4 linked regions of the Anolis sagrei genome follow. The protein of the gene in region 1 interacts with the protein of each later gene in a pairwise test. Links are inferred from orthologs where the notes say so. Each region holds a gene or a part of one and is shown on either strand. Other genes may lie near its edges. The genes, in order: DTX2, ARNT2, RFX6 and ABHD16A.

The links.
Region 2: the proteins of DTX2 (region 1) and ARNT2 interact in binary tests that used the Homo sapiens proteins (3 or more experiments, as listed by UniProt). The link is inferred for Anolis sagrei from reciprocal best matches to the Homo sapiens genes DTX2 and ARNT2.
Region 3: the proteins of DTX2 (region 1) and RFX6 interact in binary tests that used the Homo sapiens proteins (3 or more experiments, as listed by UniProt). The two-hybrid records come from large-scale screens. The link is inferred for Anolis sagrei from reciprocal best matches to the Homo sapiens genes DTX2 and RFX6.
Region 4: the proteins of DTX2 (region 1) and ABHD16A interact in binary tests that used the Homo sapiens proteins (3 or more experiments, as listed by UniProt). The two-hybrid records come from large-scale screens. The link is inferred for Anolis sagrei from reciprocal best matches to the Homo sapiens genes DTX2 and ABHD16A.

Annotation. Positions count from the first base shown.
Region 1 is NC_090031.1:32,855,665-32,863,584, forward strand, and holds the start of DTX2 (probable E3 ubiquitin-protein ligase DTX2), read right to left. Parts: upstream 3,008-7,920; 5' UTR 2,910-3,007; intron 1,203-2,909; 5' UTR 1,135-1,202; coding exon 846-1,134; intron 1-845. UniProt on the Homo sapiens protein: Regulator of Notch signaling, a signaling pathway involved in cell-cell communications that regulates a broad spectrum of cell-fate determinations.
Region 2 is NC_090029.1:33,870,624-33,878,271, reverse strand, and holds the start of ARNT2 (aryl hydrocarbon receptor nuclear translocator 2), read left to right. Parts: upstream 1-4,638; 5' UTR 4,639-4,843; coding exon 4,844-4,874; intron 4,875-7,648. UniProt on the Homo sapiens protein: Transcription factor that plays a role in the development of the hypothalamo-pituitary axis, postnatal brain growth, and visual and renal function. Specifically recognizes the xenobiotic response element (XRE).
Region 3 is NC_090021.1:89,811,138-89,818,479, reverse strand, and holds the start of RFX6 (DNA-binding protein RFX6), read left to right. Parts: upstream 1-4,334; coding exon 4,335-4,373; intron 4,374-7,342. UniProt on the Homo sapiens protein: Transcription factor required to direct islet cell differentiation during endocrine pancreas development. Specifically required for the differentiation of 4 of the 5 islet cell types and for the production of insulin.
Region 4 is NC_090022.1:20,738,783-20,746,260, forward strand, and holds the start of ABHD16A (phosphatidylserine lipase ABHD16A), read left to right. Parts: upstream 1-4,458; 5' UTR 4,459-4,505; coding exon 4,506-4,637; intron 4,638-7,478. UniProt on the Homo sapiens protein: Phosphatidylserine (PS) lipase that mediates the hydrolysis of phosphatidylserine to generate lysophosphatidylserine (LPS). LPS constitutes a class of signaling lipids that regulates immunological and neurological processes.

The sequences.
Region 1 (7,920 bases):
AAGCAAATCAAACAATTAAAACAAATTAAAGCAAAATAAACAACAAGCACAGTACATTAAAACACAATAAAACTGGGCCGGGCCAAAAGGTGGGTACAAGGATTAAAAGTGCTGATTTGACAGGAGGTGTATAAAGGGTTTCTAGGGCGAGTGCGATGTGCAATGTGCAGCAGTCATTGGTTCTGATAAAGTGCTTGTGGGACTCGGTAGTGGAGGTTTCCTAATCTGGGAAGGTGCATCGGAAAAGCCAGGTTTTTAAGTTCTTTCTGAAAATAGCCAATGAAGGGGCCTGTCTAAGGTCTTTGGGGAGGGTGTTCCAGAGTTGGGGGGCCACCACGGAGAAGGCCCTGTCCCGCGTCCCCACCAAGCGTGCTTGCGACGCCTGTGGGATCACGAGCAGGGCCTCTCCTAATGACTGAAGAGAACGTGTGGGTTCATAGATGGAAATGCGGTCATGCAGGTAGGCTGGTCCCAAACCGTTCAGGGCTTTGTAGGTAAGCACCTGCACCTTGAATTGAGCTCGGAATATAAACGGCAGCCAGTGGAGTTCCTTAAACAGGAGGGTTGACCTCTCTCTGTAAGGGGCCCCAGTTAACATCCTGGCTGCTGATCGTTGGACCAGTTGGAGCTTCCGAGCCGTCTTCAAGGGCAGCCCCACGTAGAGCGCATTGCAGTAATCCAATCTGGAGGTGACCAAGGCATGGACCACTCCGGCCAGATCCGCCTTTGCTCTATTATTACTGTTACTGCATTTCCATTTTTTTACTCAGCAGGCGAACCATCAACACGCACAAGTCACACTGTTTACCGATTGGCTAGGAGATGGAAGTCCCTGTGGACATTACCTGTATCTTGTCGGAACTGCGTCAAACTGGGGATGTCGATGACGTAGGGGGCCAAAGCAGGGTCCGCTTGCCCCAGGGGGATGCTGCCTTGCAAGGGCCAGGTCCCCAGCGAGCGCCGGCCCTTTGCCGCCAGGGCTTGGAAGGACTGCTCGATGTAGCAGCACACCCCACTGCAGTACGGCCTCCAGCGCCCACACTCGTCCTGCCACTCCCACACCGCGGCCCCCGGGTCCGGCGGAGGAAGAGGAGGAGGCCCGACAGAGGTCCCTGGCAAGGCGGCCATTTTCATACCACCACTTGAACCACGGAGTCTTCGGGACTTCAAAGCATCGCCGCATCAACATTCATCTTCGACGTCTAGAAGCAGAACAGGGAAAAGGAAGGAAAGGCCAAGCGTGACACTCCATCCGCGAGAGAATTTTCTCCCTGCAGGAGATCCCGAGTTCGCCCTCCACACACAGTTATTACATGATTTTTGTTCCTGTGCTACCAATGTTGTTTCCTAATTGGTTCTATCATAAAGTCATGGGAAAACGTTGATCCAACTGCCAAAACTTTGTTGTTGCAAGAGAGACATCCTGCAGCACATTTTGCGACAGTTTTTCTATAAATATCTCAACACAGAGTCTCAACCGATTCAACCCGAACGACACTGCCACACAATGGAATGGCTAAAACACCAAAGTCAAAATATTATCAGAATTTAAGTTATTCAGCCAGAAATTGAAAAGAATCGTATAGGCTCTTTATTATTATTATTATTATTATTATTATTATTATTACTATTTGATTAATACATCTGTACTGCAGAGCTAAGGCAGTTGGATATATATATATATATATATATATTACATTACAGTAGCATTATAATGCTACTGTAATGTAATATATATATATATATATATAAATATATATATATATATTACATTACAGTAGCATTATAATAAATTATAACAATATTATAATATATAATAATATGATATATAATATTAATTTAATAATTACTATTACTATTTGATTAATACATCTGTACTGCAGAGCTAAGGCAGTTGAATATATATATATATATATATATATACACATATATAATAGTAACATAATAAATTATAATAATATTATAATATATAATAATAATATAATATATAGTAATATTAATTTAATAATAATAATTACTATTTGATTAATACATCTGTACCGAAGAGATAAGGCAGTTGGATATATTATATATATATATGTACATATATTATAGTAATATTATAATAAATTATAACAATATAATATAATAATATGATATATAATATTAATTTAATAATTATTATTATTACCATTTGATTAATACATCTGTACTGCAGAGCTAAGGCAGTTGGATATTTTATATATATATATATATATATATATATATATATACACACACACACACATATTATAGTAGCATTATAATAAATTATAACAATATTATAATATATAATAATATTAATTTAATAATAATAATAATAATAATTACTATTTGATTAATACATCTGTACTGCAGAGCTAAGGCAGTTGGATAATATATATATATATACACACACACACATACATACCCACATATATAAAAGTGTTATAATATAAATTATAACAATATTATAATATATAATAATAATATTAATATATAATATTAATTTAATAATAATAATTACTATTTGATTAATACATCTGTACTGCAGAGCTAAGGCAGTTGGATATATATATATATATATATATTAGTAACATTATAATAAATTATAAAAATATTATAATATATAATATATAATATTAATTTAATAATAATAATTACCATTTGATTAATCCATCTGTGCTGCAGAGCTAAGGCAGCTGGATCCCTGTTTCACAGGCCTGCTGGCTCAAGGCTCCTGGGTGCTGGGAGTTGTAGTTTGCCAAGGCCTTGGGCCTTTCCCCACCGAAGAGAGGCCTGTTGCCTCTCCCAAACTACAAATCCCAGGATCCTGAGGCAGCCCCAGTGGGGCCTTCTCCCCGCTGCGGCCCGCCCCGAACTACAACTCCCACCCCCCGCAGGCCCCTCACCTTCCCTCTGCCTGTTGCCAAGGAAGCGCCTCTCCAAACTCCCTGGGCCTCCTTCTCCAACGGCGGAAGTGCCGGGGCGCCCACTGCGCATGCGCGCGCTCCTTCCGTTCCCGAAGGGCGCATGCGCATCCGAAATCGCGGTGCCTGATGGGAAAAGAGGCGCAAAATGGCGTCGGTTTGGTTTCCTTTTCAGGCCTAAGAAGTTCCTGAGCCAGGAAAGAGACATTAGAGAAGGCCCACACGAGCAGGGATGGTCTGCCCAAAACAAGACGCTTTTGAGCCAGGAAAGAGACATTAGAGAAGGGCCACATTAGTCCAGAAGGTCTAATGAGGACTCCCATGTTCTTCAGTGGGAGCTTGAGTGGAATTCCTCTCATTTAGGAAAGAGGAAAAGGCAGAGGAAGGAGAGACCCAATTACCAATATCCAGATCCTGGAGAATGGAGAAAGGCAGGGAGTTTCAGAAAAACATCTACTTCTGCTTCATTGACTATTCTAAAGCCTTTGACTGTGTGGATAAGAAAAGGCAAAAGCTGCACATCGCAAGTGCTGAACCTGACTCAGCACATAGAAGATGGCTTTGAAAGGCAGCAGATCACAGGAGCTGTCTTCATAGACCTGTCAGCAGCCTATGATACTGTGAACCACCACCGCCTCCTCCTGAGAAAAATGTATAATATCACCAAGGACGACCACCTCACCCGCCTCATAGGAAACCTGCTACAAAACAGGAGCTTTTTTGTTGAGTTCCAGGTCCAGAGAAGCAGATGGCGGAAACAGAAGAACGGCCTGCCTCAGGGGAGTGTACTTGCCCCATCCATGTTCAACATTTACACAAATGACCAGCCACTGCCAGAAGGGACGGAGAGCTTCATCTATGCTGATGATCGTGCCATCACCGCTCAAGCAGGGAGCTTTGAGATGGTTCAACAGAAGCTCTCTGAAGCTCTAGGTGCTCTTACTGCCTATTACAGGGAAAACCAGCTGATCCCCAACCCATCTAAAACACAGACATGTGCTTTTCATCTCAAGAACAGACAAGCATCCCGAACTCTGAAGATCACCTGGGAAGGAATCCCACGGGAGCATTGCAGCGCACCCAAATACCTGGGAGTCACTCTGGACCGTGCTCTGACCTACAAGAAGCACTGCCTGAATATCAAGCAAAAAGTGGGTGCTATAAACAATATCATACGAAAGCTGACTGGCACAACCTGGGGATCACAACCAGACACATGTGTTCCACACTGGGCATGCGTACTCAACAGCAGAGTAGCAAAGCACAAGGGCAAATGTCTTCACTGTGTCTGGTTGTGATCCCCAGGTTGTGCCAGTCAGATGTTATTTCTAGCACCCACTTTTTGCTTGATATTCAAGCAGTACTTCTTGTAAGTCAGAGCAAGGTCCAGAGTGACTCCTGGTACTTTGGTGTGCTGCAATGCTCCAGTGGGATTCCTTCCCAGGTCATGCTCCGAGCATGAGATGCTTGTCTGTTCTTAAGGTGAAAATAACATGTCGGTGTTTTAGCTGGATTAGGAATGAGCTGGTTTTCCCTGTAATAGGCAGGAAGAGCACCTAAAGCTTTGGAGAGCTTTTCTTCCACCATTTCAAAGCTACCTGCTTGAGTGGTGATGGCATGATTGTCAGCGTAGATGAAACTCTTTATCCCGTCTGGCAGTGGCTGATCATTTGTGTAGATGTTAAACACTGATGGAGCAAGCACGCTCCCATGAGGCCGGCCATTCTTCTGTTTCCGCCATTTGCTTCCCTGGCCCTGGAATTCAACAAAAAAGCTCCTGTTTTGTAGCAGGTTTCCTATGATGCGGGTGAGGTGGTCACCACTTGGGCAGTGATGGCACGATCGTGTTATTTGTTTTATTTATTATTTTATTTACAACATTTATATGCCAACCTTCTCACCCCACAGGGGACTCAGAGCATAGTACAATATCGGTATAATATATTACTATATTGTACTATACCATTATATTGTAATATTAGTAGTAATATTACATGTAATATAAATATATAATTAAATATATAATTATAACATCATATTATTATTAGTAGTAATATATTGCATTGCAGTGCTTCTTGTAAGTCAGAGCAAGGTCCAGAGTGACTCCTGGTACTTTGGTGTGCTGCAATGCACCAGTGGGATTTCTTCCCAGGTGATCCTCTGACCTTGAGATGCTGGTCAGTTCTGAAGGTGAAAAGCACATGTCTGTGTTTTAGATGGATGAGGAATCGGCTGGTTTCCCATGTAATAGGCAACAAGTTGTATAAGTTATGTTTATAACTCCGTTGTTGGGACGTTTGGTTAGCCGTAATACAAAAGAAGTTACTTCTTTTCACCCTGCAAGAAATCAAACAAGACCGGAAAGACTGGGGTGTGCACCTTTGCAGAGAATTGCAGAGAATTGTCACCTGTGTATCTCATTCACGCTCCAAGCATCCGCTGTGGGTCTCCTGCAGAAGATACTTGGCACGATCCAGACCCCCTTTTCAACATTGCGCCCTTGAGGCGGCAGCAGCCGTTGCTCTTCTCCACCAATTGGCGCAACTGAACAAAGGCCATCTTGTTCTCACGCAGCATATGTGCAGCTCAGAAATATTTTCTCTCGTGGGACGGACATGATCTTCCCTTGAAGGGGAACTCTCGGTTGGAACAGTCAGTCAGTGAAGAGCGATGTCCTTTGTTGTTCTCACTTGCTATCACGTGAACTTTGACTTATAGTGGCCCTGCGGAGAGTTGGAAGAGACCGCATGGACCATCTAGTCCAACCCCCTTCTGCCAGGCAGGAAAAGCACAATCAAATCATCCCTGACAGATGGCCATCCAGGCTTTATGTAAAAACCTGTCCTCTGGGGTCTTTGCCCTTTCTCCCAATTTGCTGTCATTTGCAGACTTGACCGGCGTGTCGTCTGTTCTGTCGTCCAAGTCTTGACTTTGGTATTCAGTGATCTGTCTTGACACATGAAGATCTTACCTCATTCCTTCAGAGCTGGCCTTCCAGATCTTAAATCTTCTTGCATCAGGCTCTATGTTCATGAAGGACTGAGCCAAGGTATAGAAAAGCTTTTTAACTAGAGTGTTACCTCACTTATTGTGGGTGTTACGTTCCAGGACCACCGCAAAAAGTGAAAATCCGCAAAGTAGGGATGCTCTATCTCTCTCTCTCTTGTTCGTCGTTGGCAGATATGTATTCAATTGTCTGGTGTTTATGTGGAAAAGTGAATAGTGGTAGTTAAAGAGCACATTCTGCGGATTATTTCTGCGTTGGATTTATTAAAATATTCCCATCCAAACCCAAGTAACAAAGGTGGAGGCATTACTTTTCATTCAACCCTCGTACATGACCAACAATGACTTCCTCTCCATTGAGACACGTTCCTTACAGAAGAAGAAGAAGAAGAAGGGAAGGGAGCGGGGAAATGGGTCCACCTTGTCTCCACCGTCCTCCAAGGTCTGTCATCGCCTTGGAGCAGGTACAAATAGTCGGCTCTTGCCTTCCTTTCCCTCTCTTTGGAAACCTGACCCATTCTCTGGAGAAGGATGTCTCTTTGAAGGTGTCTCGGTCGAACCTCTCTGCAGGTTTCGGTCCGTTTGCTCCCCCAAATCTGCATCCAAACGATGCTCTCCTGCAAGTTGGCTTTAAGCCTTGAAGCTTCCTGCAATGGGAAAGTGGGACCCCACGATTGACGGATGAGGGACTTTTCTCGGCGCCTTGTGTTGCTTTGCAAGGAAAGCAGGACGAAGAAGAAGAGGAGGAGGAAGAAAAGTCTGGAGCATCCTTGCGCATAAAAGAAAGCATTCGCCCTGTGTATTTTGGTTTCTCTCTCCTCCCATGGACTCCTCTTTCCCTTTGATTCTGCATCACCAAATATTCCATTTGGGAAGGTAACCCTGGCATCCTTTCGAAAAGGGGAACGCGGAACGGCCCAAGAGGTAGGTGCCTTGATCCTGAACCACTTTTCTCAACCTACCAAATAATAATATTGTGCATACAGTAGGTTGTTGTAAGTTTTCCGGGCTGTCTGGCCATGTTCTAGAAGCATTCTCTCCTGATGTTTCGCCTGTGTCTTTGGCAGGCATCCTCAGAGGTTGTGAGGTCTGTTGGAAACTAGGCAAGTGGGGTTTATATATCTGTGGAATGGGAGAAAGAACTCCTGTCTGTTGGAGGTAGGTATGAATGTCTCAATTGGCCACCTTGATTAGCATTGAATGGCCTTGCAGTTTCAAGATGTAGTTTCTTACTGCCTGGAGTAATCCTTTGTTGAGAGGTGGTTAGCAGTCCCTGATTGTTTCTCGTCTGGACTGTCCAGGGTGGGAGAAAGAACTCTTGTCTGTTGGAGGTAGGTGTGAATGTCTCGATTGGCCACCTTGATTAGCACTGAATGGCCTTGCATTTTCAAGGTGCGGCTTCTTACTGCCTGGGGGAATCCTTTGTTGAGAGGTGATTGTTTCTTGTCTGGACTGTCCAGGGTGGGAGAAAGAACTCTTGTCTGTCGGAGGCAAGTGTGAATATTACCATTGGCCACCTTGATTAGTATTTAATGGCCTAGCAGTTTCAAGGGGTGGCTTTTTCCTGGAGGAATCATTTGTTGAGAGGTGATCAGCTGCCCCTGATTGTTTCTTGTTTGGCGTTTATATATCTGTGGACACTCCAGGTTGGGAGAAAGAACTCTTGTCTGTTGGAGGCAAGTGTCAATGTTGCCATTGGCCACCTTGATTAGCATTTAATAGCCTAGTAGTTTCAAGGCATGGCTTCTTACTGCCTGGGGGAATCCTTTGTTGAGAGGTGATTAGCTGTCCCTGATTATTTCTTGTCTGGGGTTTATATACTGTATGTATTACTGAATGTATACACGTGTGTGTGTATGTGTATATATATATATATCTTGGGCTCTCTCACTGAAACCATCTGCATCCTCTCCCTGCCTCGCTCTCCTCGCACACAGCCCACAACTGGCACATTGACCTATGGGGGTGAAAAATAATCTCACACTGA
Region 2 (7,648 bases), on another chromosome or scaffold:
ATGTAATTGAACCAAAACTGCCACACAGAACTCCCATGACCAACAGAAAACACCGGAAGGGTTTGGTGGGCATTGACCTTAAGTTTTGGAGTTGTAGTTCACCTACATCCAGAGAGCACTGTGGACTCAAACAACGATGGATCTGGACCAAACTTGGCACAAATAGTCAATATGGCCAAATGTGAACACTGGTGGGGTTTGGGGAAAATAGACCGTGACATTTGGGAGTTGTAGTTGCTGGGATTTATAGTTCACCTACAATCAAAGAGCCCCTTGAACCCTACCAACGATAGAATTGGGGCAAACTTTTCACACAACCCCCATGACCAACAGAAAATACTGTGTTTTCTGGTGGTCTTTGGTGACTCCTCTGACACCCCCGCGCGAACCCCCAGGGGTCCCGACCCCCAGGTTGAGAAACACTGGTTTAGGTTAAATATTTGTTTCCTACCATTTGAATCCATTGCTCTGTGTCCTAGTCTCCAGAGCAGAAGAAAAGAAGCCTGTCAAATATTTAACAGGTAACACGATACCCTTTCAAATATTTATACATGGCTCTCATGTTCCTCTCAGGCTGGATCTACACTTCCCTTTATCCCAGGATCTCATCCCAGATTATCTGTTTATCAGGCAGTGTAGACTCATATAATCCAGTTCAAAGTGGATTATCCAGGATCAGATCCTGGGATACAGGGCAGTGTAATAATGATGATGATGATGATGATGATGATGATGTATGGATCATCAATGTCGCAATCCCAGGTGGCAGCAGGATTGCAGAGAAACAACAGGAAAAGCTGACACGATATGAGAATTTAAAGATTGAACTGCAAAAACTCTGGCACTAGCCAGTAAAGGTGGTCCCAATGGTGATCGGCACACTGGGTGCAGTGCCTAAAGACCTTGGCCTGCACTTAAACACAATCAGCGCTGACAAAATGACCATCAGCCAGTTGCAGAAGGCCACCTTACTGGGATCTGCACGCATTATTTGCCGATACATCACACAGTCCTAGACACTTGGGAAGTGTCCGACGTGTGATCCAATGCAACAGCCAGCAGTGTGTCTGCTGTGGACTCATCTTGTTGTGTTTCCAATAATAATATTTATTTTTACCCCGTCACCATTTATTTATTTATTTACATTATTTCTATCCCGCCCATATCAGCCTGCAGGCGACTCAGGGCATTTCTACAATTCAATGCCATCAATACATACATTCACAAAACAAAAACAATTAAGTGCATTTAGACAAAAAAAAGACAATAGCAGTTTTAAAAGAGCTATGTCCTCTCGTTCCAAACCAATCCTCATCCGTTTCATTGTCTTGGCCATTCCTGGGTCATTCTCCATCTCAAGCTTGACTATCTATTCCGGGGTTCCGAATGTTTGCTCGAAGAGCCAGGTCTTTACTCTCTTCCGAAAAGTCAGGAGGGAGGGGGCTGATCTAATATCCCTAGGCAGGGAGTTCCACAGCTGAGGGGCCACCTACAATCAAAGAGCATTCTGAACTCCACCAATGATGGAATTGGGCCAAACTTAGCACACAGGGCTCCCATGACCAACAGAAAAACTGGAAGGGTTTGGTGGACACTGCCCTTGAGTTTGGGAATTGTAGTTCACCCATATCCAGAGAGCACTGTGGACTCAAACAATGATGGATCTGGACCAAACTTGGCATGAATATTCCATATGCCCAAATATGAACACAGGTGGAGTTTAAGGGAAATAGACCTTGACATTTGGGATTTGTAGTTGCTGGGATTTATAGTTCACCTACAATCAAAGAGCATTCTGAACTCCACCAATGATGGAATTCAACCAAACATGGCATACAGGACTTCCATGACCATCAGAACACACTGGAAGGGATTGGTGGCCATTGACCTTGAGTTTGGGAGTTGTAGTTCATCTACATCCAGAGAGCACTGTGGACTCAAACAATGATGGATCTGGACCAAACTTGGCACGAATACTCAATATGCCCAAATATGAACACAGATGGCGTTTGGAGGAAATAGACCTTGACATTTGGGATTTGTAGTTATTGGGATTTATAGTTCACTACAATTAAAGAGCATTCTGAAACCCACAAACGACAGAATTGGGGCAAACTTCCCACACAGAACCCCCATGACCAACAGAAAATACTTAAGGCCATCCAGTCCAACTCCCTTCACCAGGGTAAGAAAATGTAATCAGAGCCCTCCTGACAAAGAGCCATCCAGTCATAAATATAGATAGATAGATAGATAGATATGATTCTCTCTCTCTCTCTCACACACACACACAGATATAGTATCATAGATCTGAAAAGGACCCTTAAAGAAGGACTATGATATGTTGCATATTCCAGAGTAGGCGAACCAGACACTCTCCACATCAACACTGACAAAGAAACAACAAGAAATACTGTTTACTCACAAGCATATAGAAATTGCATATATTAGAAACCAACACTTTCTCATTACTTTATTTTCCAGATCACCAGACTGGGCCACAGCAACACATGGCAGGAGCAGCTAGTTGTATCATAAATGTACAATATAAAGCAATACACACAATCAATATAAATTCATGTTGTTGTTGTTCATTCGTTCAGTTGTCTCCGACTCTTCGTGACCTCATGGACCAGCCCACGCGAGAGCTCCCTGTCGGCCGTCACCACCCCCAGCTCCTTCAAGATCAGTCTAGTCACTTCAAGGATGCCATCCATCCATCTTGCCCTTGGTCGGCCCCTCTTCCTTTTGCCTTCCACTTTCCCCAGCATCATTGTCTTCTCTAGGCTTTGCTGTCTCCTCATGATGTGGCCAAAGGACTTCAGCTTTGTCTCTAGTCTCCTTCCCTCTAGAGAGCAGTCAGGCTTTCTTTCCTGGAGGATGGACTGGTTGGATCTTCTCAAAGTCCAAGGCACTCTCAGAACTTTCCTCCAGCACCACAGCTCAAAAGCATCTATCTTCCTTCGCTCAGCCTTCCCTAAGGTCCAGCTCTCACATTCGTAGGTGACTACAGGGAAGACTATGGCTTTGACTAGGCAATGGATCTTTGTTGCCAGTCTGATGTCTCTGCTCTTCACTATTTTATCGAGATTGGACATTGCTCTCCTCCCAAGAAGGAAGCGTCTTCTGATTTCCTGGCCACAGTCTGCATCTGCAGTCATCTTTGCTCCTAGAAATACAAAGTCTGTCACGGCCTCCACATTTTCTCCCTCTATTTCCCAGTTGTCAATCATTCTTGTTGCCATAATCTTGGCTTTTTTGACGTTTAGCTGCAACCCGGCTTTTGCGCTTTCTTCTTTCACCTTGATTAGAAGGCTCCTCAGCTCCTCTTCGCTTTCGGCCATCAAAGTGGTGTCATCTGCATATCTGAGTTGTTCGTGTTTCTTCCAGCAATTTTCATCCCAGCCTTGCATTCATCAAGCCCCGCACATACTCGCATGATGTGTTCTGCATACAAGTTGCATAGAATGGGTGAGAGGATACAACCCTGCTATACACCTTTCCCAATCTTGAACCCGTCTCCTGTTCCGTGGTCAGTTCTGACTGTTGCTCCTTGGTCCTTGTACAGATTCCTCAGGAGAGAGGGAAGGGGGCTTGGGATGCCCATCCCACCAAGAACTTGCCACCATTTATGATGATCCACACAGTCAAAGGCTTTAGAGTAGTCAATGAAGCAGAAATAGATGTTTTTCTGAAACTTCCTGCCTTTCTCCATTATCCAGCATCCGGATATTGGGAATCTGGTCTCTGGTTCCTCTGCCTTTTCTAAACCCAGCTTGAACATCTGGCAACTCTCGCTCCATGTATTGCTGGAGTCTTCTTCCTTGCAGGATCTTGAGTATTACCTTCCTGGTATGAGAAATAAAGGCCACTGTATGGAGGTTGGAGCAGTCTTTCGCATTTCCCTTTTTTGGTATGGGGATAGAAGTGGATTTCTTCCAGTTTGATGGCCATTCTGATGTTTTCCATATTTGCTGGCATATGGCATGCATCACCTTGACAGCATCCTCTTTTAAGATTTTGAACTAAATTCATAGGTAAAGGTAAAGGTAGTCCCCTGACATTAAGTCCAGTCATGTCTGACTCTGGGGTGTGGTGCTCATCTCCATTTCTAAGCCAAAGAGCCGGCATTGTCCGTAGACACCTCCAAGGTCATGTGGCTGGCATGACTGCATGGAGCGCCGTTACCTTCCCTTCGGAGCGGTACCTATTGATCTACTCACATTTGCATGTTTTCGAACTGCTAGGTTGGCAGAAGCTAGGGCTGACAGCAGAAGCTCACGCCGCTCCCCGGAATCGAACCTGCGACCTTTCGATCAACAAGTTCAGCAGCTCAGCGCTTTAACCCACTGCGCCACCGGGGGCTCCTAAATTCTAAAAACTAAAATTCATAGTTTTTGCATTTTTCCCCTTCAATATAGTGAAAAGGTGTAACTTCCGGGTGTGGCCACTGGGGGCGCTGAAGAACCACCCATTGGAGCCAAAAGCACAGAGCCAAGCAGAGCCCATCCCACCAATCAGAGGGCCGGGAGAGCCGCGCGAAGGCCAATGGGAGGCCCGCTAGGGGGCGGGACGTTTCGTTCCCAGGTGCTGCTGGGCGCATGCGCAGTCCGGCTGAGGAGGGGGCGCGGAGCGTGAGGGGAATGAGAGGGGAGGGCGCGGAGGGCGGGGAGGGTTCCTCCTCGGGCCGGGCATCCTGGGCAGTATGAGGAGAACCGAGGCGCCCTCCTTCGTGTAGCCGGCGAGGCCGCTCTCCCTCCCGCATCTGGACGGGGGCCTCCGCTGTGGGTGCCCTGCATCCGGGTCCTTCGCTGGCCAGGTTCCGAATTGGGCCCCAGGCAAAATGGCCGCGCCGGCCGCTGTGAACCCCTCGGGTGAGTAGAGGAGCGTTGCCATGGAGACGGGCTCTGAAGGCTAGGCCTGGGCCGATTTGGGCCCTCCAGGTGTGTTGGACTCCGACTCCCACCATCCCTAACAGCCTCAGGCCCCTTCCTTTTCACTCTGAGGCCTCTCTCCCACTGAGGCCTCTCTCCCACTGAGGCCTGCCTCACAATGAGGGCTCTCTCAGACCAATGCCTCACTCACTGAGGTGTTTCTCTCAGTTGAGGGCTATTAAATTGCATGCACGCCTGCTTATATTGAACTGCTTAAGCAGCTGAGGGGGAAAAGGAAAGAGGGACTTCAACTCCCACCATTCCTAACAGCCTCAGGCACTTTCCTTTTCACACTGAGGCATTTCTCCCGCTGAGGCCTCTCTCCCACTGAAGCCTACCTCACAATGATGGCTCTCTCCCACTGAGGCCTCTCTCCCACTGAAGCCTACCTCACAATGAGGGCTCTCTCCCACTGAGGCCTCTCTCCCACTGAGGCCTGCCTCACTGAGGGCTCTCTCAGACCAATGCCTCACTCACTGAGGTGTTTCTCTCAGTCTGAGGGCTATTAAATTGCATGCACGCCTGCTTATATTGGACTGCTTAAGCAGCTGAGGGGGAAAAGGAAAGAGGGACTCCAATTCCCACCATTCCTAACAGCCTCAGGCACTTTCCTTTTCACACTGAGGCATTTCTCCCGCTGAGGCCTCTCTCCCACTGAAGCCTAACTCACAATGATGGCTCTCTCCCATTGAGGCCTCTCTCCCACTGAAGCCTAACTCACAATGAGGGCTCTCTCAGACCAATGCCTCACTCACTGAGGCGTTTCTCTCAGTCTGAGGGCTACTAAATTACATGCACGCCTGCTTATATTGAACTGCTTAAGCAGCTGAGGGGGAGAAGGAAAGGGGGACTCCAACTCCCACCATTCCTAACAGCCTCAGGCACTTTGCTTTTCACACTGAGGCCTCTCTCTCACTGAGGCCTCTCTCAGACCAATGTCTCACTCAGGCGTTTCTCTCAGTCTGAGAGTTACTAAATTGCATGCACACCTGCTTATATTGAACTGCTTAAGCAGCTGAGGGAAAAAAGGAAAGGGGCACTCCAACTCCCACCATTCCTAACACCCTCAGGCCCATTCCTTTTCACACTGAGGCATTTCTCCCACTGAGGCCTCTCTCCCACTGAAGCCTCTCTCCTACTGAAGTCTTCCTCACAATGAGGGCTCTCTCAGACCAATGTCTCACTCACTGAGGCGTTTCTCTCAGTCTGAGGGCTACTAAATTACATGCACACTTGCTTATATTGAACTGCTTAAGCAACTGAGGGGGAAAAGGAAAGGGGGACTCCAACTCCCACCATTCCTAACAGCCTCAGGCCCTTTCCTTTTCACTCTGAGGGATTTCTCCCGCTGAGGCCTCTCTCCCACTGAAGCCTACCTCACAATGAGGGCTCTCTCAGACCAATGCCTCACTCACTGAGGCGTTTCTCTCAGTCTGAGGGCTACTAAATTACATGCACGCCTGCTTATATTGAACTGCTTAAGCAGCTGAGGGGGAGAAGGAAAGGGGGACTCCAACTCCCACCATTCCTAACAGCCTCAGGCACTTTGCTTTTCACACTGAGGCCTCTCTCAGACCAATGCCTCACTCAGGCGTTTCTCTCAGTCTGAGAGTTACTAAATTGCACGCACACCTGCTTATATTGAACTGCTTAAGCAGCTGAGGGAAAAAAGGAAAGGGGGACTCCAACTCCCACCATTCCTAACACCCTCAGGCCCATTCCTTTTCACACTGAGGCATTTCTCCCACTGAGGCCTCTCTCCCACTGAAGCCTCTCTCCTGCTGAAGTCTTCCTCACAATGAGGGCTCTCTCAGACCAATGTCTCACTCACTGAGGCATTTCTCTCAGTCTGAGGGCTACTAAATTGCATGCACGCCTGCTTATATTGAACTGCTTAAGCAGCTGAGGGGGAAAAGGAAAGAGGGACTCCAACTCCCACCATTCCTAACAGCCTCAGGCACTTTCCTTTTCACACTGAGGCATTTCTCCCGCTGAGGCCTCTCTCCCAATGAAGCGTACCTCACAATGAGGGCTCTCTCCCACTGAGGCCTCTCTCCCACTGAAGCTTACCTCACAATGAGGGCTCTCTCAGACCAATGCCTCACTCACTGAGGTGTTTCTCTCAGTCTGAGGGCTACTAAATTACATGCACGCCTGCATATATTGAACTGATTAAGCAGCTGAGGGGGAAAAGGAAAGGGGGACTCCAACTCCCACCATTCCTAACACCCTCAGGCCCATTCCTTTTCACACTGAGGCCTCTCTCCCATTGAGGCGTCTCTCCCACTGAAGCCTCTCTCCTACTGAAGTCTTCCTCACAATGAGGGCTCTGTCAGACCAATGCCTCACTCACTGAGGCGTTTCTCTCAGTCTGAGGGCTACTAAATTACATGCACACCTGCTTATATTGAACTGCTTAAGCAGCTGAGGGGGAAAAGGAAAGGGGGACTCCAACTCCCACCATTCCTAACAGCCTCAGGCCCCTTCCTTTTCCCCCTCAGCCGCTTAAGGAAAGGGCCTGAGGCTGTTAGGGATAGTAGGAGTTGAAGTCCAACACACCTGGAGAGATGGCCCAAGTTTGCCTACAATGCCTAGGTCTGATTTAGACACTGTAGTCTTATTGATTCAGCCTAGAATCGCATTGGCCTTTTAAGCTGCTGCATCACATCATTGCCTCATGTTTATCCATTTATTTTTTATTTATTTTGCATATT
Region 3 (7,342 bases), on another chromosome or scaffold:
TTTAAGCAGAGGTTGGATGGCCATCTGTCGGGGGTGATTTAAATGCAATGTTCCTGCTTCTTGGCAGAAAGGGGTTGGACTGGATGGCCCATGAGGTATCTTCCAACTCTATTTATTATTATTATTTATTTAAAACATTTATATTCCGCCCTTATCATCCCGAGGGGACTCAGGGTGGAGCACAACATACAAACAGCAAACATTCAATGCTGGGATATAAATAGATTATACATATATTACAATAATTTATCTTGACATTAAAATTCACTGGTTAAAATCATCTCAATCATCCATGTTGAATCTAGTTGGTATGGTAAGGTTTCCTGTTTCTGCCTTATTGCACTGATTCTATGATTTTATGATTCTATGATTTTATGATTCTATGACAGTGCAGACTCAGAGAGAATAACAAGTATACATGTTTGTACAACTTGCAGAAGAAGAAAGATTGAAGTAGAATACATTGAAACACTATAACACTAAGTTAAATAATTGTGAGGTGTTACTTCCAACTAGTATATTAACTCTGTCTTCTCTTTTTAAAATTAATAATTCTAAATTTGAGTTTGAATATGTTATTATTTTTACATATAATCCAATTCTGCATATTTTTCCATCTCAAAGGATCACTGAGCTCAGTTCTTTTTGAAATGTATGCATGCAAATAATTAAAGTTTTAAATAACATAAATCCAATGCAACTGCATTTAGTAAAACAGTTACAGGATTATTTTCTCCTGATTAGTTTTCCTTAATGTTCAGTTATAAAATGATTAGAAAGCACATAAATAACTCTCATCAATTCAATGGGTATTAGGGTTGTGCAATATGGGTAAACCTTGACCCATTTTGTGTGACAACTTCTGGTAGGGATCCAGATCTGGTTTTCGGGGGCACCTCCCAAAATTTGGAGGGCAGATATCTGTTTTCACTCTGGGGTGCTGAAAGATCCGTTTTCTATCAGCCCATTATGGGGGAAAGGGGGCTTCCCAGGCTCCGTTTCCCATCACTTTAAGCATTTAAACTGTTAGTGTTTCTACTCTACAGGAGAGACGCTCAGCTGCAGGCAGGCTCACATGCTTTATGGGCCTGAATGCCATACACACACATACTTTTTCCAAGGCAAGGAGACAAGTTCTGTTTCAGAGGAGGTGCTTGGCTGCAGGCAGACGTGCACGCTTTCTGGGCCTGCACACCACATACACACTCTTTCCAAGGCAAGGAGGCTGCTTACAAAAAAGTAAAGAGCCAGGATCAGTTCCCACTTGCTTTCGTGTTGAGTTCATTTTCATACCGGGAGAGGGCTTCCTGTTACGTGCACCTTAAAGTAAAAAGTAACAAAAGAATGGATGAAACAAAGGAAAATGGTTCAGTGCACAAACCTAACGGGCATATTCCAGTTAGGCTTAGCAATAAAATTGAGTCCAGTGTTTTCAAATTCATGGTTTGCTCACCCTATACTACAGCTTCTTTGCTGTTTGGCTATTTTTATGCATTCACTTTCGAACAAATAGAAGAAGAAAAACCATGATAATCTGTACAGCCTTCGTATTTGCTATAAACTTAGCATAGTCTAAGTGTAGCATAGTGCTGTTGGTTCAATTAGAATCACACAACTCCCAGGTGGTAACCAAGACTTTAGTTTTTGGCATTTTCCTGGCAGAATTCAACTGAACCAATCCCCCAAAGACCTGGCTATACCAACTCCACTGTAATCTCTACCCCATTATTTGCTTCAGCTCCCCACTGCTATCTCTCAGAAAATATGTAAAAGATTTTGCCATGCTAGCTGCCATTGCCCAATACAGTTTCCTCTATGGAAGTCCACAAAGGTTTGTATGGATAAAACAGAGCTTTCTGCCTAATGATTATTACAGTCATTTCTATAGCATATAGTTTATAGTTTTAAAAAATGCTATAACAGATTACCATTTTAAACATGAAACCTCCATTTTGAAATAGTATTTTCTTCTAGAAACTTTTTCATTCTTGAAATTTTTGAAAGGTAACATTTGCAGAAAATGTGGGAGAAAATGTGGGCGCACCCTTTGGCAGAGAAGGCTAAAGTTCTTGGAAAACTATAAATTCCATTCCATAGTACTAATACCATGTATTAGTGGAATAAAATTTATAGTTTTCCAAGGTCTTTAGCTTTCTCTGCCAAAGAGTGCTGGTGCTTCACCACACTGCAATTCCCAAGATTCCATAGAACTGATCCAAGGCACTTAAAGTTGAGTCAAATTGCATTAATTCACCCCCCCCCCCCCCCCCAAAAGAAATCCATGCTCTGCCTGTGAAGTAATAGAAATGTATTGGCTAGCCAGCATTTTGATTTATAAATTAAATGCAAATGTTAGTGCTTGTAAATTCCTTGCAATCTTCTGGATACCTGGTTAGTGAAGTGTGGGGAAATCTTCCTTTTTGCTCATCTCGTTCTCCCCTAGTTGCCCATCACCTTTACCATTATTTCATCCACATCACATTCTCTTCCTGGATGCATATGTAGTATGTAGTAAGCATACAATATAGGAGCCCCCGGTGGCACAATCGGTTAAAGTGTTGTGCCAGGTGGACTGCAGACCAAAAGGTCGGTGGTTCGAATCCAGGGAGTGGGGTAAGCTTCTGTCTGTGAGCTCCAGCTTCCCATGTGAGGACATGAGAGAAGCCTCCCATGGGATGACACCACATCTAGGCATTCCTTGCAGATGGCCAAATCTCTCACACTAGAAGTAACTTGCAGTTTTGAAGTCACTCCTGGCACACACAAAAAATGTGGTGAGCTTCAGCCAACATGGTGAAGCATTCTTTCCTTTAGTGCTACAGCAGCAGGACAAGCTCTGCTTGACAAGCAATGGAAGCTGGGAAAATGCAAATTAAAATCACTACCTAAAAGAACTCTTATTTAGGAACCTCTATGTCCTCCAGTGCAATGGTTCCCAACCTTTGGTCCTCCAGGTGTTTTGGACTTCAGCTCCCATAATTCTTAACAGCTCATAAGCTGGCTGGGATTTCTCAGAGTTGAAGTCCCAAACACCTGAAGGGACCAAAAGTTGGAGACCACTACTCCAGTGCAATTTCAGGATCATCTTCCGGTGGGAATTGAACTTAGAGTTGCACTGGAGTCCCATAATATTCCTAGAAAAGCCATAGTAATAAAATGTGAATAATCTTATATATATATAAAAGTTAAACTCACAGATGAGTGAAGTACGCCATCTGTTTTGCTCTTGTCTTCCAGAGTTCAGAAACACAACATTTTCAGCTGCAGTGTCTATTTGTGGAGGATGGAATACACAACACAGCTCAAGAACTTGTACTTCCTCATTTTAAAAAAGGGTTGGTCATAATCAATCCAGTGTCTTAGCTACAATTATATCCGAAGAGGGTTAACTTCATGGTAATCTATGCCCCGAAGACCTCCCATTTGGGCTATAGCAATGTACCTTCTGGGGGGCTACCCTTAAAGATGGTTGAACACCTATCCTTTGTGTAAAATATGATAAGCTTAACATGTTTAAAGTATTTAAAATCATAAAGGAGAAGATAAAGTTATTATATTAGTCTATTTGGCATACATTTTGCATCAGATGTTATTTCTTTTGTCAGTTAATAGGTAATTGGATGGCCATGAGTTCAAGCAATGACAGTTAAATATTAATAAAATTTCAATTGTATTTGCAACAAAAAGGGAAGTGTCCTTATTTGTTTTGTGCATTTTCTAATTTTGCTGCATGACTACTCCAAATATTCCTCCAGATCTCCCACCAAAGATCAGTAAAACATTATTCTGCTTCAGAAGCTGCAAAGGAAGAAGTATGTTGTTAAACTATGCCATCTACTGGTGATTTTTTATCCACAAAATAAATCATTGTATTGATGTATTGTCGAAGGCTTTCATGGCCAGAATCACTGGGTTGTTGTAGGTTTTTTTCGGGCTGTATGGCCATGGTCTAGAGGCATTCTCTCCTGTCGTTTCGCCTGCATCTATGGCAAGCATCCTCAGAGGTAGTGAGGTCTGTTGGAACTAGGGAAAAGGGTTTATATATCTGTGGAGTGACCAGGGTGAGACAAAGGACTCTTGTCTGCTGGAGCTAGGTGTGAATGTTTCAACTGACCACCTTGATTAGCATACAATGGGCTGACTGTGCCTGGGGCAAACTTTTGTTGAGAGGTAATTAGATGTCCCTGCCTGCTTCTTCTCTGTTGTTGTGCTGTTGCAATTTTAGAGTTTTTTAATACTTGTAGTCAGATTTTGTTCATTTTCATGGTTTCCTCCTTTCTGTTGAAATTGTCCACATGCTTGTGGATTTCAATGGCTTCTCTGTGTAGCCTGACATGGTGGTTGTGAAAGTGGTCCAGCATTTCTGTGTCCAGGTTGGTTCCACCTCAACTGCAATACTGTGTCTAATTCTGGGCACCACAGTTCAAAAAGATATTGACAAGCTAGAAGGTGTTCAGAGGAGGGTGACTAAAATGATCAAATGTCTGGAGACCGTTCCCTATGAGGAGCATCTTAAGGAGCTGGATATGTTTAGTCTGCAGAAGAGAAGGTTGAGAGGAGACATGATAGCCATGTATAAATATGTGAAAGGGTGTCATAAGGAAGAGGGAATAGACCTCTTCCTTATGCTGCCCTGGAAACCGGAACTCAGAGCAATGGGTTCAAATTACAGAAATGAGATTCTACCTGAACATTAGGAAGAACTTCCTCACCGTACGAACTGTTCAACAGTGGAACTCTCTGCCTCAGAGTGTGGTGGAACCTCCTTCCTTGGAAAATTTTAAAAAGAGGCTGGATGGCCATCTGTCAGAGATACTTTGCGCTTTTCCTGCATGGCAGCAGGTTGGACTAGATGGCTGATGTGGTCTCCTCCAATTCTCTTATTCTATGATTCTAAGCCAATGGTCATTCCATGATTGAGAACTGGGTTGGAGAGAAAAATATCACAGCATAGAAAGCTGTCATGTATTGAATCCTCCCATTGGCCCAACTAGCCCAGATTTATTACATGGATCTTTCACAGTTTAAGAATGCAAAGGGATCTTGCAGCACCTCTCATACTATGCTCAGACAGCAAAGAGGAAGAGCAGATGGAAGTGCCAGTGAAGCCCGTGGATGTTCCCGTGGCTGAAACTGGAGCCAGAAGCAGCTAGAAAGTTCAAGATAAAATGCCTACATTGATAGAGAGAGACCAGCAAAGAGAGGAGTTCAGGAAGTTGTGCCACTTTATGAAAAATTCTGCTAAATCAAGGAGCAGCTGAGAAGAGGAACCAGAGCTATAAATCAAGTAGTTGCATGATGCTTCTCTGGTGTGGAAAACTACTCTGTTTTGACCTGGTTTCCAACACTTACTTGTTCCTTTGTGGATTTGACTTCAGACCTGTTGTCATTATTCTTCTGGCTCAACCCTAAACAGACTTATTGATTTGGTTTCCTTGGCCTCAGACTCTTTAGACCTCAGCTAATGTCTCACTTATCTTCTGGTAGCTTGTTCTGTTTCAACCAGCCACTTGCACCACTGTTGTGATTACAACAGCACCTTAGAGTCTAAGGCCCTTTTCACACTGCCCCTGTATCTCAGCATCTGATCCTAGATTATCTGGCCATGGAGACTCATATAATCGAGTTTAAACCTGGGATCAGATCCTGGGTACAGGGGCAGTGTGGAAGGGGCCTATGAGAACAAAATTAGGTGCATAAACTTTTGTACACTCAGTCTACTTCCTCAGTTGCAACCTTTGTACACTTAACCTACAAAAGCATGTGCTACTAGTATCAACTTCATTCTCTTTGCTTGTCTCTAAGATATTACAAGATCCCTTTGCATACTATTCCAGACAAACATAGCAATGCCTTTGAATTCTACACAATGAACTATTTAAGGAAGAAATCTTATTATTTATTAATTAAAAATATTTCTGTGCACAAGAACAAGGAAAAGTACTGTAATAATCAATTCAGAAAAATAAATGATGACAACAAAAAAAGAAAGAACAAGAGACCTCTTCCACGAGATCCAAGAAATCAAAGGGAGTGTTACACTCCAGAGCAGGATCCCCTGTGACTTCAAACACCACAGTTTAGTTCAAATAGCAAGCAGTTTATTGTATGTAATAAAAGCCAAAGCAATAAAAAGTAGTCCACAGCAAAAGGTAAATCCAATTGATTAAGAAGAAAAAGGAGCAATTAGTCCAAAGAGAGATAGTCCAAAGAAGTCCATGAAACTAGATGCTTGATTTCAAAGGCAAATAACAGCAAAGGCACTTCAAACAGGAATCAAACAAAGACAAGGGTCCAGGAATTTGGCATGAAGCAAGTTGCTTCATCTGAACATTGCTTCATCTGAAGCTAGATTCTGTACTTGGCACTTATGTTCCTGCCCTATTTCACAAACAGCTAAGAATGGATTTTTCCTTAACTTTAGTTTCACTTCTAACTTCTGATGTAATCTGGCTGAGTGCCATAATTGCTGGTTTGTTTGTCTTTGCTGGCTAAAAACACTTATGTTCAAGCCTTCATTAAAATCTGCACCTGGAGATAACTGACCAGTGGACTGCGGCGCAGAGCCTTTCTCAGGCTCAAGACCTTGAGAATCCCCTTATAGCAATAAAGCCTTCTCTAAGCCATCATTTGAACTGCATTCAGACCCCCCCCCCCCCCAATGTCTAAAACCAGGTCCAGGAAACGGACCGTCATCCCCATTCCCTTCAGGAACATCTTCATGGACAGCATCTCCATTTCCATCAGAAGAATCAACTTGAACATGAACAACATTGTCATTCCCATCATCCAAAACAACCTGATCATTAGACACAATCACAGGCTGACATACAACACGGAAATTGAAAACAAGAGTGGGAATGCTCTACAACCAGCAGGGGAAGACATTACATGACTAAGTAGAAATAAAAGCCAATGAAAACCATACATTGAAAAAATATATAAAGGACGTGAAAGGATGGCAGATTCATTCAAGGAAGAACAATCTGATGATGAGCCAATAACTTTATAAATTAAAATGGAAACTGCACTCTGAGCACTAGAGAGAAATAAATCACCAGGAACTGATAGCACACCAATATCCAGCTAAAGGACAACATTTACTCTAGTTCTAAATATGGGAAACAAAACAATAGCTTACAGAAACACTGGATATACATTCCACTTCCCAAGAAAGGAAATACCAGGGGTGTAGTAACCACAGAACCATCAATTAATTGTTTATGCAAAAAAAGTAGTGCTAAAGTTCTACAACAAAAACCCTTACCCCATATGTGGTGAAAAATGGATTCAGCAAAGGAAAAAGCCCTACCATATTTTATATCCAGAATATTCAAATAAT
Region 4 (7,478 bases), on another chromosome or scaffold:
ACTTCTGCTGTCTTCCTTCAACTACAAGACTTTATTTGCTTTGTTATCAAAATACAATGCTGAGGCACAAAAGGAAGGCCAGGAATAGTTACTCCAAGCCCTATCGGCACGGCACACTTCCCGAGGAGCCTAGTTTGAGCGGCTTATCAAAAGAAACATGGATTGATATAATGAAAGGGAAGGGAAATTATGGTATATGAGTTAGTTTTAATGATGTCTTGAGCATTTCCCAGCTTCTCCTCAGGTTGTGCCACTCAACTTTTGTATATTATTTCTAGCACCCACTTTTTGCTTGATAGTCAAGCAATGCTTCTTGTAAGTCAGAGCACAGTTCAGGGTGACATCCAGGTATTTTGGTGTGCTGCAATGCTCCACTGAAATTCCTTCCCAGGTAATGGGATTCCTTCCCAGGGCTCAGAGCTCAAGATGCTTGTCTGTTCTTAAAATGAAAAGCACACCTCTGCTTTTTAGATGCATTAGGAATCAGCTGGTTTTCCCTGTAATAGGCAGTAAGAACACCTAAAGCTTCAGAGAGCTTCTGTTCAACCATTTCAAAGCTCTCTGCTTGAGCGGTGATGACACGATTGTCAGCATAGATGAAACTCTCTGTCCCTTCTGGCAGTGGCTAGTCATTTGTGTAAATGCTAAATACTGATGAAGCAAGCACGCTCCACAGGACAAGCCCTTCTTCTGTTTTTACTATCTGCTTCCCTGATCTTGGAACTCAACAATGAAGATTTCATATGAAGCAGATGAGGTGGTAGCCCTCTATGATATTATAATTTTTCTCAGGAAGAGGAGATGATTTACAGTATCATAAGCTGCTGTCAGGTCTATGAAGACAACTCCTGTAATCTGCTGCCTTTCAAAACCATCTTCTATGTGCATCTTCTATTTGTGTAAATGTAGCAAGCATGCTCCTCTGAGGCAGACCATCCTTCTTTCTTCCAATAGTTAAACAACCAGATAATGAAAACAACCACCTTTGTGAACCTTTCACAACCACTGAATTGGAAATGGCTCTCAACAAATGTAAAATGGCAAAGCAGCTGGCTTGGACGATCTGCAGATGGAACAAATTAAGAACTTTGGTCCAAAAGCAAGATGCTGGCTGCTGAAGCTGATGAACAACTGCATTGCATCCTATCGGATCCCCAAAATCTGGAGGAAAGCAAGTCATAGCCACTTTGAAACCAGGCTAAAACCATTATGATCCAAAAAGCTATAGACCAATCTCCTTGTTGTGTCATCTTTATAAGGTTCTGGAGAGAGATATTTGCATAGAATTATGGAAAAATATACCTGTTTATGATTCCACAGCAAGCTGGTTTTAGGAAAGGGAAAAGCTCCACATCACAAGTGTTGAACCTGACTCAGCACATAGAAGATGGTTTTGAAAGGCAGCAGATCACAGGAGTCGTCTTCATAGACCTGTCAACTGTTTATGATGTTGTAAATCACCGCCTCCCTCTGAGAAAAACATATAATATCACAAAGGATAACCACTTCATTTGCTTCATAGGAAATCTACCCCATAGCATTGAGCCATGGCAGTTAAAAGTGGTGTCAGACTGCATTAATTCTACACTATATATGTATTAATTAATTAATTTCATGCTTTATCTCTCCATATGGAGACTCAAAGCGGTGCACAATCAAAAACATTACAACTTAAAATATACATATATACAATAATAGACAATATATATTATATATTATTTTATATTATTTTACTGACACAAAAACACAGTATGTCACAACAAACAAGATATATATGCTGGATTTCGTATCACAAAATCACAAGTTAAATACTTCCCAAGCATCTAGGACTGTGTGGTGTATTTTTGAATGATGTGCACAGATCCAAGTAAGGTGGCTTTTTGCGGTTGATAGATCGTGATTTTGTCAATGTTTATTATATATTTTTATTTTATTCCTTCATCACATTATTTTGCATCTGTTTATTGCATTTTCTGTTATTTTATGTATTTTGTTTTGATGCTATTATTTGCTGTTTGTATTTTATTTTATTTTATTGTACTGTAATTCTGGGCTTGGCCTCGTTAGCCGCCCCGAGTCCCCTTTGGGGAGATGGTGGCGGGGTATAAATAAAGATGGTGATGATGATGATGATGATTATATATTATCAGTAGTAATTATATTTAATATATTAGCATTACTATATTACAATAACATTATTATATATTATATTGTATTATTAGTAGTATTTATATTGTATTATATATTATTATCAATATATTTATATACAATATATTACATCATTAGCAAAGCACAATATCAGTATTATTTATTACTATATTGCACCATAATACTGCAATATTATTAGTAATATTACATGTAATCCATAATATACAATTATTATATTACTATATTGTACTATATTAATATACTACAGTATATAAAACATTACCTGTATATTATACTATTATATAATATACTGTACTATATATTAACTTGTAGTATATATAATATATTGTATTATTATTAGTATTATATTGTATTATAATCAATATTATATTTATATGCAATATATTACATCATTAGCGAAGCACAGTATCAGTATTATTTATTACTATATTGTACCATTAGGCTATACTGAAATATTAGGTTCTTGTGGGTTTTTTCGGGCTATAGAGCCATGTTCTAGAGGCATTTCTCCTGACGTTTCACCTGCATCTATGGCAAGCATCCTCAGAGGTAGTGAGGTCTGTTGGAATTAGGACAATGGGTTTATATATCTGTGGAATGGCTGGGGTGGGGCAAGGAACTCTTCCCTGCTGCAGTTAGGTGTGAATGTTTCAACTGATCACCTTCATTAGCATTTGAAGGCCTGCCTGAGCCTGGGAAAATCTCTTGCTGGGAGGTGTTAATCTGTGCCTGGTTGTTTCCTCTCTGTTGTTTTGCTGTTGTAATTTTAGAGTTTTTTAATACTGGTAGCAGATTTTGTTCATTTTCATGGTCTCTTCCTTTCTGTTGAAATTGTCCACATGCTTGTGGATTTCAATGGCTTCTCTGTGTAGTCTGACATGGTGGTTGTTGGAGTGGTCCAGCATTTCTGTGTTCTCAAATAATATGCTGTGTCCAGGTTGGTTCATCAGGAGCTCTGCTATGGCTGACTTCTCTGGTTGAAGTAGTCTGCAGTGCCTTTCATGTTCCTTGATCCATGTTTGGGCATTGCTGCGTTTGGTGGTCCCTATGTAGACTTGTCCACAGCTGCATGGTATACGGTAGACTCCTGCAGAGGTGAGAGGATCCCTCTTGTCCTTTGCTGAACGTAGCATTTGTTGGATTTTCTTGGTGGGTTTGTAGATTGTTTGTATGTTATGTTTCCTCATCAGCTTCCCTATGTGGTCAGTGGTTCCCTTGATGTATGGCAGGAACACTTTTCCTCTGGGTGGATCTTCATCTTGACTCTCGTGGCTTGTTCTCGGTCTTGCAGCTCTTCTGATGTCTGAGGTGGAGTATCCATTGGCCTGGAGAGCCCAGTTGAGGTGGTTCAGTTCATCTTGAAGGAGGTGGGGTTCGCAGATTCTTTTTGCACGGTCTGCCAAGGCTTTAATGGTGCTTCTTTTTTGACTTGGGTGATGGTTGGAGTTTTTATGTAGATATCTATCTGTGTGTGTGGGTTTTCTGTAAATGGTGTGACCCAATTGTTGATCTGGTTTACGGATGACTAGGACATCTAGAAAAGGCACTCTTCCTTCATTTTCTTTTTCCATGGTGAACTGGATGTTTGGGTGGATGCTGTTAAGATGGTCCAGGAACCTGTTGAGTTCTTCTTCTCCATGGCTCCAAATGGTGAAGGTGTAATCCACATATCTGAACCATATCGTGGGCTTTTTGGTTGCTGTCTCCAGGGCTTGTTTTTCAAAGTGTTCCATGTAGAAGTTAGCTATGACCGGGCTGAGAGGGCTCCCCATAGCTACTCCATCTTTCTGTTCGTAGAATTCATTGTCCCACTGAAAGTAACTGGTGGTGAGGCAATGGTGGAACAGAGCCGTGATGTCTTCTGGGAACCTCTGGTTGATGAGTGCCATGGTGTCTGCTACCGGGACCATGGTAAATAGAGATACCACATCGAAGCTGATCAGTTTGTCGTTGGTCAACAATATAATATATTGTATACTATTATATTATTATATTGTACTATATTAATATACTACAGTATATAAAACATTACCTGTATATTATACTATTATATAATATATTGTACTATATATTAACTTGTAGTATATATAATATATTATGTCTTAATTACAGCATTATAATTATACAGATGCACTCAGACAGTACGAAAACTTGGGCTGTCTTTTGTATTTCCCGCCTGCTGTTGCATCACAAACCAGAGGCTAGGCTAGCGTTCTGGAAAACCAAGGCACCTTTTTGTCCCTTTCCCCTCCCTGTAGGAAACCCGGAAGTGCGGCTCCCCCCTGTCCTCGCTCCCTCCTCCCTTCCCCGCTGCCCGGCTTCGGGTCCGTCCCAAGATGGCGAAGTTATTGAGCTGCATCTTGGGGCCAAGGCTGTACCGGGTTTATCGAGACAGGGACCCTCCCAGGATCCGCCGCCTCCGGGATGTGGCCGACGACCCAACGCAGCCTCTCCTGGAACCCTCCTGGGTGAGTCCATTAACCTTAATCCCTCCCCCCGTTGAAGATTTGGTATGTCCCACGTCCCCCTTTTGTACCGAAGCTGGCGGGCTGAACCATTACAGCAAGGAGGGGGAGGACTCTATTGGGCGAGTCCATTACTTTCTTTTCCTCTGTACCCCCTGGTGAAGACTTGGTCTATTCCAAGTCACTCTTTTACAGTGCTTGGAAGGCTGAACCATTACAGTAAAACGGGGGCCACTATGAGCTATGTAAGGGGTGGGATTATTCTGACCTTTTGAAAGAGATAATGGCAAAATAGTACAAACAAAGGAGGTTGTAGGAGGAATGAAAGAAAAGGGTGAGGCTACACCTAGCTCATGCGTGGCTTTTATGGTTCTTTTGTTATACTTCCTCTTCTCCACCCTCAATTGTGTTGCCACCTTCTCCTATAATCATAGTATAATAGAGTTGGAAGAGGCCACATGGGCGGTCTAATCCAACCCTTTGCCATACAGGAAAAGCACAATCAAAGCACCCCCGACAGATGGCCATCCAGCCTCTGTTTAAAAGCTTCCAAAGAAGGAGCTTCCAACACACTCCTATGGCAGAGAGTTCCACTGCTGAACAGCTCTCACAGTTAGGAAATTCTTCCTAATGAATTCTTCCTAATGAATATACCATGAAAATGAACAAAATCTGGCTACCAGTATTAAAAAACTCTAAAATTACAACAGCAAAAGAGCAGAGAGGAAACAACCAGGCACATCTTAACACCTCTCAACAAAAGATTCCCCCAGGCTCAGCCAGGCCTTCAAATGCCAATGAAGGTGGTCAGTTGAAACATTCACACCTAGCTCCAGCAGAGAAGAGCTCCTTGCCCCACCCCAGCCATTCCACAGATATATAAACCCATTGTCCTAATTCCAACAGACCTCACTACCTCTGAGGATGCTTGCCATAGTTGCAGGCGAAACGTCAGGAGAAAATGCCTCTAGAACATGGCCATATAGCCCGAAAAAACCTACAACAACGCAGTGATTCCGGCCATGAAAGCCTTTGACAATACTTTAACACATAATATAAAACAATAACAAACGTCAGGAGAAAATGCCTCTAGAACATGGCCCTATAGCCCGAAAAAACCCACAAGAACCTAGTAATTCTTCCTAATGTTCAGGTGGAATCTCATTTCCTGTCATTTGAACCCATTGCTCTGAGCCCTAGTTTCCAGGGCAGCAGAAAACAAGCCTGCTCCCTCTTCCTTATGACACCCATTCACATATTTATACATAGCTGTCATGTCTCCTCTCAACCTTCTCTCCTGCAGGCTAAATATGCCCAGTTCTCTAAGACGCTCCTCATGGCAATTCATGGTCTCCAGACCTTTGGTCATTTTAGTTGCCCTCCTCTGGACACCTTTCAGCTTGCCAATATCTCTCTTAAATTGTGACTAAAATTATAGAATCATAGAATTGGAAGAGACCTCATGGGCCATCCAGTACAACCCCCTGCCAAGAAGCAGGATTATTGCATTCAAATCACCCCTGACAGATGGCCATCCAGCCTCTGTTTAAAAGCTTCCAAAGAAGGAGCCTCCACCACACTCCGGGGCAGAGAGTTCCACTGCTGAACGGCTCACACAGTCAGGAAGTTCTTCCTCATGTTCAGATGGAATCTCCTTTCTTGCAGTTTGAAGCCATTGTTCCATTGCGTCCTAGTCTCCAAGGAAGCAGAAAACAAGCTTTCTCCCTCCTCCCTGTGGCTTCCTCTCACATATTTATACATGGCTATCATATCTCCTCTCAGCCTTCTCTTCTTCAGGCTAAACATGCCCAGCTCCTTAAGCCGCTCCTCATAGGGCTTGTTCTCCAGACCCTTGATCATTTTAGTCACCCTTCTCTGGACACATTCCAGCTTGTCAATATCTCTCTTGAATTGTGGTGCCCAGAATTGGATACATTATTCCAGGTGAGGTCTAACCAAAGAAGAATGGAGAGGTTCCATGACTTCTCTCATTCTAGACACTATACTCCTTTTGATGCAGCCAAAAATCTCATTGGCTTTTTAAGCTGCCGCATCACACTGTTGGCTAAGGTTCACGATGTTGTCTACAAGTATTCCAAGATCTTTCTCACATGTACTGTTGTCGAGCCAGGTGTCACCTAGCCTGTATCTCTGCATTTCATTTTTTTCTGCCTAAGTGTAGTACACTACCATATAATGGAGATTATCAAAGCAGATAACCCAGATTGTCTGTTTTGAACTGGTTTATCTGAGTCTATACTTCCATATAATCCAGTTCAAAGCAGATAATCTGGATTTTATATGTAGTGTAGAAGAAGTCTCTGGGGATCAGAGTTTGAGTCCCTGCTCAGCTGTTAAAACCCATTGGTTGACCCTGGGCAAGTCACGTACTTTTATTTCAGAAAAGTTGATAGATTGTCTTTGTTGTTTTGTGTCTTCAATGCTTCATCTGTTGGGGGTGCTTATATTTTCCTTTATGGCGTGGGATTCAACTAGATGGATGGTCCTTGTGGTCTTTTCCACTTCCAGGCTTTTAAGGCTTCTTCTACCCAGCCATATAATCCAGATTATCAAATCTACACTACCATATAATCCAGTTCAAAGCAGATAATCTGGATTTTATATGGCAGTGTAGAATTTGCCTTAAAGTGCATCTACAGTGTGAAATGGGTGCAGTTTGACACCACTTTGACTTCCGTGACTCAATGTTATGGAATCTGGGGAGTTGTAGCTTTACTAGGTATTGAGCCTTCTCTGACCAAAGAGTGCTGGCGCCTCATCAAACTACAATTCCTGTGATCCTATAGCACTGAGCTATGGCAGTCAAACTACTTTCATTTTACA